Linked DNA regions of Coturnix japonica. The protein of the gene in region 2 interacts with the protein of the main gene of each other region in a pairwise test. Links are inferred from orthologs where the notes say so. Each region holds a gene or a part of one and is shown on either strand. Other genes may lie near its edges.

What was found.
Region 1: the proteins of NUFIP2 (region 2) and FBLN5 interact in binary tests that used the Homo sapiens proteins (3 or more experiments, as listed by UniProt). The link is inferred for Coturnix japonica from reciprocal best matches to the Homo sapiens genes NUFIP2 and FBLN5.

Annotation. Positions count from the first base shown.
Region 1 is NC_029520.1:40,372,675-40,377,942, reverse strand, and holds the start of FBLN5 (fibulin-5), read left to right. Parts: upstream 1-1,957; 5' UTR 1,958-2,417; coding exon 2,418-2,434; intron 2,435-4,528; coding exon 4,529-4,583; intron 4,584-5,268. UniProt on the Homo sapiens protein: Essential for elastic fiber formation, is involved in the assembly of continuous elastin (ELN) polymer and promotes the interaction of microfibrils and ELN. Stabilizes and organizes elastic fibers in the skin, lung and vasculature.
Region 2 is NC_029534.1:4,760,672-4,765,897, forward strand, and holds the start of NUFIP2 (nuclear fragile X mental retardation-interacting protein 2), read right to left. Parts: upstream 3,343-5,226; 5' UTR 3,233-3,342; coding exon 3,049-3,232; exon of another isoform or gene 2,802-3,048; intron 1,500-2,801; coding exon 1-1,499. UniProt on the Homo sapiens protein: Binds RNA.

The sequences.
Region 1 (5,268 bases), on a different chromosome or scaffold from region 2:
ACCTCCTCAAGAAGACAAAGTCAAGGTAATCTAAACTAGTGGATTTTAGAACACGAGGAAACCATTTGACCATTGAAGTAAGTGAGCTGCTCCAACTGAAGTCTCACCACCATCCTGCACATAAGTGTCAGTAGGTGGTGTTGAAAGATACTCTGTTTACAGGGTAAACAAAAGAGTTTTTGTGTACCAAAAATGCTTTTCTTTATGCAACTCTTCTTACCAAAGAAAGATGTGAGTCTAGCAGGTAGTAGTTACCAAAAGGAACTGCAAAAAAATCACTTAGCCATAACAATCCTTTAATTTAGGAATTACATTCCTTTTATTTAGGAATAAAAAAATCACCACGTTACAAACTAACCCAAGATGTGGTTTGGTGCCCTTTTTATACTCTGGATTTTATCCACTCCAGCTGCCTGATGGAGACAGGAAAAACCAAAACATTTGTACAGTATCCCTTCTTAAGGGAGCCGCTTAGCTGATCGAGGCTGGATTCACCTCCCGTTTGCAGCGCTGGAGCACCTCTTCCAGATGGCTGATGAATCAGAGCTCTTCAGTCTGAGCCAGGAACAGACTTGTGCTGCACCCATGCCGAGATTCTGGCATGCATTAAAGATTTTGCCATGGAAAGCAAGAAAACTTCCACGGAACAGCAAATGAAGTATTAAGAAGTATATGAAACCAGTTCATCCACAAGTATGGATCATCAGAGCATCTGCTTTGCTGTAGAGATATTTCTAATAGCTTCAGTAGATCGTGCACTTAGAATATAACAGGCATGGTGAGTTGTAATCTTGCTGGCTCTCCAGATCATTGAGCAACACTGGTCCTGTGATGGAATGACAACACTACTGACTGTTAACTTTTGCCTAAATGAAAACTCACCCAGTTTTTGCTAGTTTTTTGATCCATGAAAAAAACACGACCAGCTTTGCCAGAATTCTTATGTGTGTGTTTTTCTTAAGCCCTGGAGAAGTTTATTTTAAATAAATTAATTGGTTCTAATTGGTCTGCAAAAATATTGACACCCCAGGGGAGAGTTTACATTTCCATGCAATGCAAGTGATGTAAGGAACAAGCTGTCAAAAGCAGCACTGAGCTTCTGGTGCTGTCATTTCGTTAATCATGTAGATAATGGAACTCTTATCCCATCAGCTCCAATGTGACTTCTGGGTGCTCAGCAGCCCTGAAGCAGCTGAATCATTGTTTCTTATGCTGTGTATCCACACTTTGAGGCCAGTTCTAGGAAAATCTGTCCTAACTGTTTCCCCATAATGATGGAGAGATGTGACAGAGATTTGATCTCATCAGACCTTCCAGTTCCTTGGAAATGAAAGGTTTTCCCAGATGGGGGCTCTACAGAAGTTCAAAGTATTCGTTTTATGTTTATGTCTGCATTTCATTTCTGTGTTCGTTTTGGGTCTAGCATAATCTCTGCAGCATCTGATTGCTTACCTCTCACATCTCGTAAATGTTCTGCTTGACCTGCCGAAGTTGTGCCTTGGGCAGAGTTGCAAAACACCTGAAAAGGGACCATATTTCCTTCCTCTTCAGTCAAAACTGGAGATCTGCAAGATACGTCTTTCCTGAGAAATTTCATTTCAAAACTTCTCCCTTAAGCACGGGGTCAGCCTAAAAAGGACCAGTGTTTGTAGACAAACCATTTGCTCTCCTTTGAACGTTTAATTTGTTTATTCCTGTTTTCAAATAATCCCCAAGCAATATAGTTCCTGTAGCTGTGATTGTCATGAATTCAAGTTATTCACCTCCCAGAGGGTCAGAACTTTCATCGCTATGCCGTTGGCACGAAGCTATGGGTGTTGCATATTCATCGTCCGAGACACCGGCTAGAGGGCCTCAAAAAAGTCTGACTTTTTTTTTTGTTCTCAGAACAAGGAAAACAATCCCTTCCCTTCTCCAGTCCCCTGATAAGAGTTTCTGTCCAATAACGGTGCTCTGTGCTCTGAGGCACATTTAACTGAGAAGTTTGCAGCGGGAGAGGCTTTCCTTCAAGCTGTTAGTGTTTTATCCTGGCAGGCTCCTCGAGATTGTTGTGAGGAGTCTAGCCAGTTGGTGAGCTTTGTAATCTAAACCAGCTGTCCCAGGCTGAGGCCCCCATTTGCATTGTTTAACATACTTAGAAAATGAAGTGTTCATTTTTAACATTCCTCCTCCAATTGGTTTAATGCTGAATTACAGAAGAGAACTAAGCAAAACCAGGTGCTTTCTCTGTATTCTCTCCAGTGTCTGAGGAGGTACGGACTGCTCCCGATCTTCTCCGTTACTTGCTCTTTCATTCTTTGGACTATAAATGACTGAGGAACTGAAGTGCTAGCAGAGGGTAATGTTTGGAAACACTTTCTAGTTATTCATCAGCACGAGCTCTGTTTTTTTTCCACCTTTTCCCAACGGTTTTGGACATGCAAGGATTAAAAAGGTAAGAGCTATGCATGAAACTTCTGTGCTTACTGAAGGGAAACCTACGTGTGGAAAATATCTGTGGAGAGGATTCGATATGCCAATCCACTTGCTGAAGCCATTTGCACGGAGACGGGATCTCAGTGGTCAGAGGTGGGGGAAGACGATCTGTCTGTTATTAAAGCTGAACTCTCTATGACAATTTTCTTCTTGATCTGCGCTTATATTCTGCACTTTAAGAATCCCAGCATCTGTGGGAGTGCTGAATTGCAACAGCGAATGGGTCCCCTGACTGCAGTGATTAATTTGAAGCTAATTAGTTACTACTGCAGAAGTTAATTACTATTTCAAAATACTCTGCCTGCCAGACAAGCTACTGTGACCAGTTGAATATAGCAGTGATACGGTGTGCTGCATGTCTGTTAATAACTCTGGAGGGGATAAGAGAGCTCAGTAACGAGCAAATTGTGATGGTGGCTGCAGACAGAACACGTATGAGGCAATAAGGTCACTCTCCATGCCGGCAGGGAAGCATGTATTACCCTGCAACAACGGAAAGACTGTCTAGAAAAATATGAATTGTGTCTGACTGATTTTACAGTGGGTATTGTTAGCATGCAATAATGTGAAGTGCAGCCCTAGGTATGCGAGGCAGCTAGGTGTGTTAGTGTTCAGCTACAACCTGCTGTACTTCCCTCTAGTGCTGTTACTGCCATATGCAAACTGAGGGTGCAGTCTCTGTATTCTGTGCTACTTTAAAATGACTTCAAAAAGGTTTAAGTAATCAAAATTGAAATGCAAGTGTAGGTGGATAATGCTGTACTTTGAATGCTTTGTGTCAAGGAAAAGTCTGTGTAGAATTTGCTTCTCCTTGTCACTCAGAAGCTGCCAACAGGCACAGCCTATCTATCTCCACAGCACTACGAACAACCATTTTAGAGTTTGTGTTTACTTTTCAGAGTTTGTGTCTGTCTCCACACTCAAAGCAAACGTGTTCAAGTGTGTCAGTCTCTGTGCTTGGTTTTGTCTGGTGCATTTCTAGGTCTTGTTCAGCAGCTCACTTCACACTGGAAATCAGAGACAGCTCTAAAAGAGAAAGTTGGCAGCTCACTGGAGTAGCAGAACTAAGACTATCTAAAATATCTTGTGATTTCTGTGCTGGTTTGTGGGAAACATACACTACTGCCATTCAGAACTAAAATCCAAGCTACGCAAGATTTAGGTTTAACTGCATTGAAAAGAAATTTGATGTAAGGAAGAGGCAAAACAGTGAAACCCACAGTACATAGAGAAAAATCAATTCTTGCTGTCCTGTCCTGGTTTTCTGTCAGTGAATAAATACATGGGGGTGCAGGTTAGGTGACTGGAGAGTCCCATGTATAGCCACAGAGCTCTGTTATTGGGGACCCTCTTCTGTCAGTTGCAGCAAAGAGACTCAGCAAGCCCCAGTAGGTGGTATAACACAGGAGATCTCCACTAAGGACAGCAGCTTCCAGTATCTGATGTCCTGTCATAGTCTGTGTACACACAGGGCAATGTATCACTGAGAGCTGGGGAGAAGGACAAAATCTGACCTAAAGAAAATGGATTAATCTCAAATATAGTCTCCTGGGGATGAAGTGCGGTTTAGCGGTTAGTGCAACTGGCTTGGATTCAGGACCTCCTGCATGTCATCTCTGCAGCCCTGCCAATGAGTTGCACGATGAGCTTAGGCATGGCCTGTTCTCTGGTTTACCCACCTGTAAAATGCAAATAATGTGCATGAAAAACTTTGATATTGTCAAAAGAAAGGTGCCACAGACAGGGGCAACAATGCTCTGCTGAATATTATGCACTTCCTCAGCAAACAGCTTCTCCATGGAACATCATATAAAACAGATTAGTTAGTTGACACGTACAGGCTGATTTTAGTCATAGTTTTATAAAACCAAAGTAAAACTACTGACTGAGATCTGAATGTGGCCCACAATCATATTACTCTCTCTCCAGAGGCCAAAAAACTCTGGAATGCACTGAAGTGTCACTAGAGATTAGTTTCTCTGTGTGTAATTAATTCTGTGTAATGAGCCTGGTTATCAGAAGGTTTTCAGCCTATTTTCTGTGCACATTACAGGATACTGACTGCTTTCACACTGACCATCTGCCTTTCGAGTCCTGGAAAAGCACAGGTGAGAGGTGTACAGAGAGATCTATGCACTGTTATATACTGAAGCACTATATGGCATGAGACTTAACTGGCTAGCAGGTGGATAGGAAGCTCTGTGGTCTGGGGTTTACATGAAAAGGAAGCTGTGTGGTCTAAGGGTTTAGAGGGGAGGACTGGGAGCCAACAGGATTCTGGAGTTGAACATGGACTGAGCTTATTGACTCATCCTTGCCAGCTCAGCAAAATATCTCTACAGGAACCTGGACCTCACTAAAAACCTGATTCTGCTTCTGAACTGAACACTTCTGGAAAACAAAATAAAAGCCATCCCAAGAGAGCAAGGATAGCTCACTTCTGTGGTGGGGAACACCCATGTTTGGAAAACTTAGTCGTGTAAACAGGCATGTTCTGTGCATAGAAGTCTGGCAGACTCTTGCCTTAAGACTTTATTTTTGGACTATGAGCCTGAATGACTGCATCCCAGGTCTTCACTTTAATTTCTGCCCAAAGCCATCTTTGTTCAAGATGCAGAGTTTTTGAGGGTGAGTGGAAGTATAGCAGTCCAGTTCTTGAAATAGCAGAAACATTAGTACTTTGTAGTTCTTTGTGTTCTTGGGCTCCAAGTGGATTTTAAATTAGGAAAAGCAGTTCCCAAAGGCATGTTAAATTTGGATTCCTAGTTGATAATCCAGATACGTTCAATGTCC
Region 2 (5,226 bases):
GCCGCCCTCCCCAGCAGTCCCAGGCTTTGGGGCAGCGCTGAGAGCTGGGGATGGGTTAGTCCGTTTGTCCAGCTCGTACGCCTTGGGGAACACGGGCTGCTCAGCTCCTGAGGGGACGATTTCAGCACACTGTGAAACCAACGCGGCGGGATATTCCCCCTGAAACGTCACTTCCATTGACTGGCTATCGGCAGATTTCCCCACCGCGGTGTCGGGGCCGGCGCTGGGCTCGTTGATGAAGGACAAACCCCATTGGTTCTGGAAGATATCTCCCAGGTTCTGCTGATTCGTCTGCGACGGGAAATCGACTTGAGCCGTACCCAGCAGCACGGTTTGCATATTGGAAGGGTAGATAAAAAGGTTGGATTTCTTCTGCTCCACAGCCGCTGGGGCTGCGCCGACGTCCGGGGTCACCGCATCGCTGGGGGTGGGAGGGACAGGAGCAGCAGCAGCAGCAGCGGAGGCGAGCAGGGGCTGAGCGCCCGCAGGGTACACAGTGCCATCCGTCCCGGCCAGGATGGGCCCGTTGGAGAAGCTGGCAGAAGTGACGGACTTCATAGCAGACATGGGGACCTGGGACAGCCGGCTGGACGGGGCGGGCTGAGCTTCCCCGGCAGATGATGAAGACGACGATGACGAAGACGCAGATGGGGGCTGAGCTGCTTTGTTGAGGTTCTCCTTAACTTTGCTTGCATAACTTATTTTGGGAACGATTTTAGCACTGCTATTGTCCACTGGAAAAACCGGGGGTGGTTTAAATAAGGTCCACGAGTCCTCCTTAGACGCGGCCGACGAAGCGTGCTTCCCTTTGGGCCGCTCATCAAACTTCTTGCCGCTAATCCCAGGTTTGGCATCCGAGTTTTTCCTCTGCACGTCTCCAATTCCTGGTTTCCCCCTGCCCGCCCCGCCGCCCCCCGCCTCGTATTTCCAAACAGGCTTCGTATTCTCAATTCGGTTCCCCTTTTGCTCGCTATAATCAGGCTTGAAACTCTCCAGTTCCTGTTTGAGGGCCGGCGTGCCGACCTCCTGTTGCATTACTTTGTCCTGCGTGAGGTTCAAGCTCTCGCAGCCCTTGGCGCTGTTGCGCCGGCCTTTCCTTTTCTTTGGGGTGGTGTAGCCACTCTCGGAGCCGCTCCCGTCGTTGTCGGCCCCCCCTTTGCCCACGTAGCCATTGGTGATGTAGGTGGCACCGCCGCTCACCACGCCGTTGGGGACGGACACCCCGTCCTGCTTGTCGGCAGGCTGAGCCTCCCTCACTTTGCTGTCGTAGGGCTTCTCATTCTTTTTGTCCATGCTATTTTTCTGAACAAAATTCTTGGGTTTGATGGCGGCTTTCCCCAGAGAGCTGCCCTTCACAGACGGCTTCGGGGTCACGTTGGGGTCTGCGGGCTGCTGGCTGCCATTGGGCACCCTGGACGTGGGGCTGGTGGTCTCCTCTGAGCACAGAGACTTCAGTGACACCTCTCTGTCCCCTGCGTTACCGTTCAGCTCTCCATAGCCTGGAAGAAACCAAGAAGAGACAAAAGAGCAAAGATGAGAATGTGCAGCATTAAAGTTCTGACTGCAACAAGCTGCGCCCCGTTTCCTCAAGGTGTTCTGAAATAGGGAAACATCAGCTCCCCCATAAAACCACCGCAGGAGCACAGCATGGCCTGGGTTGCAAAGGAACGCAATGATCATCTGGTTCCAACCCCCTGCTGTGTGCAGGGTCACCAACCAGGCTGCCCAGAGCCACATCCAGCCTGGCCTTGAATGCCTGCAGGGATGGGGCACCCACAGCCTCCTTGGGCAACATGGGACACACTACAGTGTGTCACCACCCTCTCCTCAGATCCAACCCAAACCTCCCCTGTCTCAGTTTCAACCCATTCCCCCTTGTCCTATTGCTGCCCAATCCACACCATCTCCATCCACACAGAGCAGGGCTGAGCACCACCCATGGATTCACACACAGCACAGGGACAGCAGCGCGTTGTTGGACACAAGGAGCAAAACAAAGCAGGAGGGACACAGGGATGCGAGGAGAGGAAAGCAGGCAGCCCTGCAAAGCCCATCGCAATCCAGAGAGCGATTTCATCAGCACCATTTCCAGGTCACGCAGAGGAAATTCCCAGGATGCTTTAACAGGGGCTGCTCCTCTCAGCCCGGAGCTGGTGGCATCGTGTCCCTGCAGCACCGGGCCGGGCCCACGGCACCTCCAGCACCGCGAAAAGCAGCGCTCAAAGGGGACACGTGCCGGCACAGCAGCAGATTGGGCTGAGCTGCGGTTTGGGGATGGATGCTCTGGTCATCGCCAACGCTGCTGGATGGAGCAGCCCTTATCTGTGCATCCTGGAGCCTCAGATGCGGGGCAGATGTCAGAGCTCCAGGTCTAAGGGATACGGGAATCCTAATGGAAGGGAATCCTTATGGAAGGGAATCCTTATGGAAGGGAATCCTTATGGAAGGGAATCCTTATGGGACCGCACACACGTGGATCCCTCTGACCGCACGTTTGGCCCGGTTCGGTTCGGTTCGGCGTGTCAGCACTTCCAGGCTCCAATTCCCGAGGCCGCTCCGTTCTCTCCCCAAATCAACAACTGGGCCGGGGGGGCGGGGGGGGGGCGGCGAGGAAGGGGCGTGCAAAGGGACGGGGTGTGGGGTAAAGGGGGGTGCGGGGTAAAAGGGGCTGGTCCCGTCCATGCCCCGCGCAGCGCAGGCCCGGCCCGGCCTTTCCCCCCCGTTATCGCTCTCGCCGCCCCACGCGGTCCCGCCGCCCCGCACACCGTGTGTGTCCCGCCCGCTCCCCCCGCACATTCCTCCTGTCCCCGCTCCCCGTCCCGCTCCCCCCGCTCCCACCCCGTCCCGCATCATCCCGCACCGCTCCGCAGCCCCACGTGCCCCGCGCCGCCCGCAGCCGCGCCGGCTCCAACATGGCGGACAGGAAGCGGCCCCAGCGCGGCGGAGAAGCTTCCAGCCGGGCCGGGGGAGGAGGATGATGAAGGATGGAGGATGGATGAAGGATGAAGCCCCCCCCCCAGGAGCCGCCCGCCGCCCCCCGCCCCGCACCTGTTCTCCGCTTGGGCCCCTCCGGGTGTCGGAGCGTCGCTTTGGGCTGGGCCCGGCCGTCGGGCGGCGGCAGGAAGGAGCTCTGCGGGTAATAGCAGAAGTGCCGGTGGTGCGGGTGGTGGTGGTGGTGGTGGTGGTGCCCGTGGTGGTGGTGGTGCGGGTGGTGCGGGGGCTGCTCCTCCATTGGGGGAGGGGAAGGGGGGGAAGAAGCTTTGCGGGGCCGGGCTGGGCGCTGTGTCGCTGCTGGGCCGAGCGGCGGAGCGGGGACGAGGCTCCGGGTGGCGCGGGGGAGGCGGGGGGGGGAGGGATGGGAGAAACGGAGCTGCAATCACAGAACGGCACCGCCCCCAGCACCGCCCCGCAGCGAGGAGAGCGGCGGAACGGGAAGAGGAGAGCGGGGAGGGGGCGGTGCTGGGGAGCGGGGGGATATGGGGGGATATAGGGGGTATAGGGGGATATAGGGGGTATGGGGGGAGCGGAGAGATACCGAGATTCCCGAATAAACGGGGGAGGTTTGGGAGCGCGGAAAGGCGCTGAGCGGGGCGGGGTGGGAAGGCGGCGTGGGGTGAGTCCGAGTGTTTTGCTTCCCCCGGCTTCAATCGCAGCATCACGGTGTGACCCGGCTCGGAACGGAGCCCCAGCGGCGTCCAGCTCAACGCCCGGCTCCGAGCGGCACCGACCCGCCGTCCTTGCCCCCCTCTGCAGCTCCGTGATGTCCGCGGCCAAATGAGCCCACGGGGGACGGTCCCGGCTGGGTAATGGAGCCCCAGAGCTTTGGGGTGTCACTCCACGGCCACGCGGAACAACGCGGACCCCACGTTCCCCACGGACACCCAACGGGGCGGTGGGATTTGGGCTCCATTAGCAGCGCAGGGGGATGGGGGGTCGCCAGGGGGACACACTTGGGATGGAGAGACCCAAAAGTGAGCCCACGTTTTGTCTGGGTCAGATGGAGATCCCCATGCAGGCAGCGCTCAGTGCGGCTTTAACCTCCTGCAGCAAACAGGGCGATAGAATTGAAGCCCATCACAATATCCTCCCAAAGAGTATCCAGAGGGCACAGACCGCCCTTAACCACCACTTCCTACCTTCTCCCACATAACAACCCCATATATTTCAATAAAGCTCAGCTCCGTCCTGCATCACACAGAGCCCCCCCACACCTCAGTGCAGCACAGGGGTTGTCCTCCTGCATAACCCTGCACACAAGGCAAAACTTCCTACTGTGCTGACCTCACTTAGGAAACAGCTCCCGAAGCGAGGAGCCGGGCTTTAATCACAGCTCACATTTTATTGGTGGCTTGGAAGTGGTTTATTCTCAATGTAAGGGACTGGTTTGGAGACAGGAGCTTCAAAGGACTCTGGAGAAAGCGAGTAATTATGGACAAATCATCTCCGCACACAGAGACAGCAGAAATCTAAATGCAAAGCTCAGAGGGATGGCTGGACATGAAGGGACTTTCTCTCCTTAGAAGCTCCGCTCTGTGTGTGCATCACATGGAGCATCCAGAGCAGGAGAAACCAGATGGAAACACACATAAAGGCTCATCCCAGTGATTTGTAGGAATCATTTCTAAGACCAGTTCCCTCTCGAAGGTCTATTTGACACCAGGTTTAATTTGCATCGTATGTTCAGGGCGAGCTGGAATGAGAGAATTCATCCACAGGAAGAGAAAGATCTCATCAGCCATGGGAAGAAAAGGGACTTATTGCGTCCACCTCCATCCAACACGTCAGCAGCACACAGCCATGATGCAGCAGGTGGTATGGGGTGATATGGGGTGATATGGGGTGATATGGGGTGATATGGGGTGATATGGGGTGATATGGGGTGATATGGGGGCAGGGCTCACTTTGGAGCAGCACCGTTTTATAGGATGAGCACAGAACCCACAAGGAAGCAGCACAAACCCGCTTTAGGTTCTCCTTTAGGAGCCGGGCGGACCCGCATTGCTGCTGGCCTCAGACTTTGACCTCTGGAAGACAAATGGGAAAAGCTCAGTCCACAAATCCCAAGGACTTTTCATCTGGTTATACAACACAGCACTCACGGGGCTGCTGCTCATTTGCTTGGCGTTCTCACTGCATTGGGACACCAAGCACTTGTTTGATAGCGGGGACTTCATAAAGAGAAACACACATCGGGTCTGCATGCATCCAACGTGTAGAAACTGAAAT